Tribolium castaneum: one gene and its partner. The protein of the gene in region 1 interacts with the protein of each later gene in a pairwise test. Links are inferred from orthologs where the notes say so. Each region holds a gene or a part of one and is shown on either strand. Other genes may lie near its edges.

Region 1 (4,305 bases):
GGTGAGCATTGGGGTTAATTTCTCCACAAATTCGTAAGCCGCTGGGTGTTTGATAAGTCCAGCGAGTTCGGATTTTAATTTTTTACGCACGGAATTCACTTGAGTTGTTGTTAGAGTTGGAGGTAGGTTATTGTAAAGTGATTCAATAGCTGAGACAACTCGAGACATAAATTCGGCCCGATTTTTTGCAATGTTTGTAACAACGCCCAGGCAGGTTAACAAGTTGGCACTGCTAATATGGGGAGAGCCAAAAAATTTTAAAAGTAACTCAAACAAGGTACTAAAAAATTCAATTAGAAATTTGCGAATTTAAAAAAAAATAAATACTTTGCTTCCTCTTCTAGTTTTCGCCTCCGCGCCAATTTTAACGTCAGAGGAACATCATCGAGTGAGAAGTCGTTCGGTTTCTTGTTCTCTTCCTGGTCGGGATAAGTTTGCAACAACACAACACATTCTAAAAATTTCACTGAACTAGTCCTAATGCCGTCATTGTCACTATCAATCATATTTGCAATTTCTAATTTTATGGCAGACAATTGCTTCCAGGCGTTTTCCATTTCTTCTGTAATTACAGAAGCCTTGCATAACCAGGCCAACGTTTTGCGATAAATACTGATTAAAGCTTGAATTACGCGCTTTTGCACCGCTATTGACTCATCACATAGTAGCATATGAAGGTTTAGCATTACTTTAGGTAAAAGAGACTCGCGCATTTTGCTAAAACAAAAGTTAAGTAACCAATTAAAATGCATAAAACCTACCATAACTCTTCAATAAAACCCACTAGCGCTTTTTTCACGTCCCCATTCCTATCAGTCGTGAAATTAAGCATGTTTTGTAAAAACTTTGGCAGCAAATGGGGCGACTTCCGAATCAAAACTTCTTGCAATTTGTGGAAGTATTCAAGCTTTTCTGCAGCAGAGCGGGACACTGCAGCGCTATTTATCCATTGGGTCACCTAAAACGCGTCTCTTTACTACCGAAATCAACTAAATCTCGGTTTTTTACTAAATCCTCGTCGGAAACTTCGTTCATGGTAAAATCCATGTCGAGAGGATTTTACAACCAAAAATGACGCAATTGTTGCCACTAAAGCAACGAAATTTCGAAAACAAAGCTAGTTTTATCTAAAGCGTTAAATTAATTGAAAATGAGAGCCAATCATCCATTTTTGGAAAGCCAAAGATTGAGGTTATGGCAGAAGTGACGTGAACATGTTACCAAAAAACAGTAACTTTTCCGCTTTTTGTTGGCGACTTTTGCTGTCAAAATACTATTGATGTGTCAAAATAATAAAAAATTATTAAAATACAATGTAATTGCTAATTACTTGGAAATTACAATACAATAGATTAAGTAACTATCGAGATGGAATCGAATACGCCATCCGAAAGTGGCAAGAAAATCGTTTTGGAGAATTTATCGAAAGAGGAATTGGTTAAACGGTGCGAACGGCTTTTGATTCTCGCCCAGAAGGCCAAACAGGCGAAGGACGCGCTCCAGGAGGAAAATAACGAGCTGAAAAATAGGCTAAAATCGGAATCTGGAGATGCCACAACTGCAATTATCGAAAATTTGACCCAACAGAAGTTGCAGTTTGTTACCACGATTGAAGACTTGAAGAGCCAAAATGCCGCTTTGGTGAATAAAGTGCAAAACTGCACGCAAGACGCACGTCTGTGTGAGGAGAAGGATAGGCTTGAAAGCGAGAATATTTCGTATAAAAGGCAAATCAAGCGTTTGACGGATGAAAATGAGCAGCTGATTACGCATCTGGAGTCTCTGGAAAAGCAACTCGAAGAGTGCAAAAACCTGGGACTTGAACAGCAAAATCAGCTGCTGATGTTGGAAGAGGCGAATCAAAAGTTACGGAGTGATGACACAAGTGATAAGTCTGCAGAGTTGCAGAAGATGCTTAGTATTAGTTTAGAGGAAGTTAAGAAGTTGCAAGCTGAGAATAACACAATGAGGGAGAAAATTGACGTGCTCAAGACGAATCTGGGGGAGAAGGATAAGAACATTTTAACGATAGGCCAAGAGTTGCAGGAAAAATTGAAATTGGTCGAGGATTTAGAAAAAATCAAAAATGAAACAAGAGAAAATGTGGAGTTGGTTGAGAAACTTAAAGGGAGACTGAAATTTTATCACTCAAAAGTTGTAAAACTGGCCGGTAATGTGAAGGTTTTGAAGGAAAATAAAAACGAGGTTTTGCGTTTGCTCAAAACGTACTCACATCAAGTGGAAGAATGGAAAGAACAGTTGGGTGTAGCTTCAAAAAAGTTGTGCCAAGAAATTAGTGATATCAAAGTACAGAACTCTGAATATCACAAGGAAATTGAAGGTTTGAAAGAAAGTAATGCAAAATATCTGAAACAACTTGAGGCACATAAAACCGACGACGAGAAAAGTAAAGAACTTGGCGAGTTTGAGAGAATTTCCAAAGAACATAAGAAATTGATTGAAGAAAATCAAAGATTGTTACAACTTCAACTTGACTACCAGCAAACTGTTGAAACGCTCACTGTTGAAAAGGAGAGTCTGCTTGAGAATTTGTCTCAATTGGAGGAAAGACATCAGGAAGAAATCAAAGTTTTTGACGACCAAAGCAAGAAAGACACAATTGAGATCAAGAACAGAATCGAAGAAAATGAAAAAATTTGCATTGAATACCGAAAAGTCATCTCCAAGCTGGAGGAGGATCTAGATTTAAACTTGAGGGAGCTAAATGATGCGAAGCAGAAGAATTACAGTCTTCAAGAAGCACTTGAACATTCAAAAGAAACGGAGAGGCAAATTGCTGATAAAACCAGTGAAGAAATACTTAAACTAGTTCAAGAAAATGCCCAGTTGGTGGAAATGAACCGAAAATTGCAAACCACCCGTGATAACTGCAAACAAGTGGAATGCCAAACTGAGGATTCAACAAACAGCGAACTGGAAGAAGTCGTGTCAGGTTTGAAGAGAGAAAATTCCGAACTTTTGGCCGAAATGAACGAAATGAATCAAGCACTGAAAGAAAGAGGAGAGACTATTTCCAAATTGCAATCTCACTGCGAAGAAGTTATGAAAAAATTGCAATTGTATGAGACACAAGCCAACAAAAACGTTGACAACATATCCCAAAAGGAGGAAATAATTAAAAAACTTGAAGACGAAATCGAGCGACTTAAAGCCACGAGTGACTTAAACTCAAACACCTCCGAAATCAGTGATTTGAAAAACGAAATTGAGAATTTGAAAGAACGGTTAAACTCGAATCTTGATTCAAGTTACGCCGATAGCGAGTGCATGTCCACGTCGACAATTTCAAGAACGGAGGAATCAAACAGAATGAAAGATCTGGAAGGGTCTTGGGAGGAAAGATACGGAAAACTACGAAACTTGGCCGTGAAACTGAAAGGGAAAGTTCGTGACTTGTCCAACGAATTGGTGAAGGAGCAAAACGAGAAGAACGATATTCAGCAAAAATGTGCCAGTAACGTGAAAACCATCGCAACTTTGCAAGCCCAGTGCGATAAATTACAAGACGAATTGGACGAAAACAAAAAACAAATAAAGGAATATTCCGCCCGATTGGATTCGACCCTTGCTGAAGTTTCCAAAGATAAGCAAAAACTGAGCGAAAACGAGGAGATAATCACCATACTCAAGAAAGAATTGGAAGAGTTAAACCAAGAGAAAGTCACGACTGAAGCCTGGAAGAAGCAAATAAGCGGCAAAGTTTCGACGTTTAGAAAGGAACTCGAAGCGAATAAGGTTTTGAAGAAGGAATACGAGGCCAAAATCGCCAAACTCACCTCGGACTTGGAGGCCAAAGAACAGGCGCTCAAGGCCGAGAGCGAGTACCACCAACAAACGAAAAATTCCCTTGAACATTCCAATATCGAACGCAAGAAAAACTCCGTCCTTAACCTGGAAATGCAAGACTACGAGAGGAGTGTCAAGGAGTTGTCCCAGAAATTGGAAAAGAAGCAAGAAGAAATCAACAAGTTGAAAAGCCAGCTCGAGTCGCAGAAAAGCACAACAAATGCGGTCCGCGAACAGAACAAGCTTTTAGAAGAACGAGCGGAAGAGATGAAGAGCGAAGTCGGAGCAACACAGGCTGAAATTATCGCTTGTAAGAAGCAAATTTCTGACTTGGAATCGGTCATGTCGAGTAAGGAGAACAAAATTCACGATTTGACCCAAATTTTGGAAACCGTGCGTTCGGAAAATGAGGAACTGTCGACTGAGTTATCCAAAGTCATTGCCGAGCATCAGAAAGTTAACACAAGCCTGAAAAGCGAGAAAGAAAATTTGAAAGGG
Region 2 (3,064 bases), on another chromosome or scaffold:
CACGTTTCTATCATAAACTTGTTTTAAAATAATGTTTGTGATCTAAGATTCAGATATTCAAATAAAGACTTAAAACGTTACCAACAAAAAAACATTTTTTTGTCTACCCCATCAGAAAATATCATTTTTTACCTTCCAAATATCTTATGAAAGTGTACGTCGGGAGAAAATAACATTCATGTTACTAAATATTTTGAAGGTGAAAGATATTTTCTGATGAAGAGGACGGGAAAAATCATGTGTACACCACTGGAGGAAAGCTTTTTCTCTCCCTTAGGTAGATGATTTATCTTCGGTGTCTCCCTTAGTATACAAATACTAGCTATTTCATTCGTTTTGGCAGCACAAATTCACAAAATACATTGCACGATAACTTATTAAAAATAAATTTAATTTGACAAAGCTTTGCATAGCCTAAAAAAATAGCGTAACTTTTTGATGGCCGTAGCACCAATTTGAAGAAAAAAAAATATTCATCAATTTTAGTACAGAGTTGTCGATAGTTATTTTTTAGTTAGTCGATAGTTTATTTTTTCTGTTCTTTCGAAGATTTTTTGTTATAAAAATAGTTCAGAATACTTCCAAATCAATTTAAAGATGTAATTAATTGCTCTGTTGTAAAAATTCATTGACCACAATTTAGTGTGGTAGTGCGATCTGTTTTATAGGAAACTATGTTTTTGCATCTGTATTCACGTTTAAAAGTTTGTTTATCATTTTTATTGCAAAACAGACGTCTTTCACGAACGAGTTTTTTTTACAGCATTTTTATTGACGGTTGTTGCATTAATTGGATTTTAATCTTTATCTTCCAAAATATCTGCATTTTAAATTCCATAAAAATCTGTTACTACAACTTTTCATACTTACTTTTCTTACGTATTTCATGGTTTTGTGGCGGCAGTTAGAGAGAATTCTTTAAACCAGAACACCTAATTTGTGACCTATTTGCGTCAAAAAATGCAAATGAGCTGTTGTTATTTTTTTAAAGCTTTGAAATGGAATTTATGTGGCTTATTTGTGTCATTAATTTTACTTTCTCGTGAGATTTGCTGCTCTTCTATTGTGTTTAATTCGAGAGAAAAGAATTAAGATTTATTATTATTTGAAATGAAAAAAGCGCTACCAATCGTAACACCTGATAGGTTACGGGATTCCCCCACGTCAACTGTACAGTTTTCAATAATTATCCAATTACCCCGTTATTATTAAATTAAGTGTAACGACAGTAATTGCGATAATTACGCAAACATGTGGTTAACAGCCATAATAATTGAAAATTAGCTGTTTTTTTACGTTGTGTTGCGTTACGTAGCAGTTGGCCAGCCTGCACATTTGACAGCTCGCCAGTTTATGTTTACGACACGTCAGGTCGGTGAAAATTTGAGGCTTTAACTTTTTATTTTGAACTAAGTTAAAAAATGAATTAGTGATTTGTTACAACGATCTAATTAATTGCACGTTACACTTAATTTGAAAGCAATGGGTGAGCGATTTGGCTGTTTTCGAGCGATGAAAGTGACTTGGAGGTTATCTAAACATTTGCAGGAGTTTTATTTAGTTATTTTAAAAGCCTTTTGGGGGCTCGAGAGATGCGGATCTTGATTCTGGGCTTGGACGGAGCCGGTAAAACTACCATTTTGTATAGATTACAAGTAGGTGAAGTAGTTACGACTATTCCAACCATTGGGTTCAACGTTGAACAAGTACAATACAAAAATCTTAATTTCCAAGTCTGGGATTTGGGCGGTCAGACGAGTATAAGGTGAGTGCGAGGTTTATTATTTATTAATTAAGCGCGTGGCAATTTGTGTGGGTTTCAGGCCGTATTGGAGGTGTTATTATAGTAATACAGATGCAATTATTTATGTGGTGGATTCGGCCGATAAAGAACGAATGGGAATTTCCAAAGATGAGCTGTTTCACATGCTTAGGGTACTAATTTTGTTTTTCTGGTAGGTAATGTTTTAATTTTTTTTGTAGGAGGAGGAATTAGGAGATGCAATTTTGGTCGTCTTGGCCAACAAACAAGACATTCCAGGTTGCATGTCGTTAAAAGAAGTTCACCAAGCGCTCGGCCTCGAAGCACTAAAAAATAGAACGTTTCAAATATTCAAAACATCAGCTACGAAAGGTGAGGGCTTGGATATGGCGATGGAATGGCTGGCAAATGCGTTAAAAAATAAAAAATAACAGTAAATTATCACACTATATTTCTAGTCTTTAATAATACGTTTTTAAGTTATAATTTTGCTGTTTCTCTAAATTTTATTCACGGCTGGTTTTGTCAGTTTGATTCATTCCAATGTTCATGTTACGTTACGCAAAGTATTTAATATTTCATACATTTGTATCATAGAACTTAATAAATATGGATGTCATTCAAAAACTGATTCCTTGGGTATGTTTATTGTTTTACAATATAAAAATATGATAAATAAATAAAGTCAAGCCAAGCAGCAGCAACAAAATAAATTTTATCCTTAAAATTATTACGGAGGACTAAAACTAGGAGGCGAAACAACCTTTAAAAAGTCAAAAAATTAGTAGTAAATACAAAAATATTTCGAGCCTAAACTATTTAATAGTACCTAAAGCCTTGTGATACGGTTAAAGGAACAGTAAACAGGAGTAGAGAATCAAATTTTCTTCCAAAAAGTCCCTGGAGCCATTTCTTTATTATTTAACGGTTTTAACAATTCGTTAGTTTTTTTTTTTTGGTTGTGTCAAAAATACAAAATACCAATTTCTATTCAAATTCGATTCCGGTGAAAATTACGATTTTTTTATTTTCAGGCTTTTTATTTAATTTAATTTCGGCATATTTGTCAAATTTATTTATATTTTCTACAACTGCGTTATTAATACATTGTCTTTAACCGTATTCATTAATTATTTGAAGCGGACAGAAAGTTTGTAGTTTTTTATACAAGCTGAGTCTGCTAAAAGTATTTTTTACTATATCTCAAAAACTAACAGTTGCAAAGTAATCAACGTTTGTCATTGAATAATTAACGTTTTTCTCTACGTATATGCATTTTTTTTAGAACTTTTGTGCACTTCT

The links.
Region 2: the proteins of GRIP and coiled-coil domain-containing protein 2-like (region 1) and Arl1 interact in a two-hybrid assay, tested with the Drosophila melanogaster proteins (2 studies listed by BioGRID). The link is inferred for Tribolium castaneum from reciprocal best matches to the Drosophila melanogaster genes GCC185 and Arl1.

What each region holds. Positions count from the first base shown.
Region 1 is NC_087398.1:8,154,305-8,158,609, reverse strand, and holds the start of GRIP and coiled-coil domain-containing protein 2-like, read left to right. Parts: upstream 1-1,242; 5' UTR 1,243-1,368; coding exon 1,369-4,305. Other genes in the region: Sym (symplekin), read right to left, coding at 1-280, 328-717, 762-958, 1,009-1,047.
Region 2 is NC_087402.1:10,511,566-10,514,629, forward strand, and holds Arl1 (ADP-ribosylation factor-like protein 1), read left to right. Parts: upstream 1-1,317; 5' UTR 1,318-1,482; coding exon 1,483-1,486; intron 1,487-1,548; coding exon 1,549-1,765; intron 1,766-1,823; coding exon 1,824-1,935; intron 1,936-1,983; coding exon 1,984-2,193; 3' UTR 2,194-2,393; downstream 2,394-3,064. UniProt on the Drosophila melanogaster protein: GTP-binding protein involved in protein trafficking; may modulate vesicle budding and uncoating within the Golgi apparatus.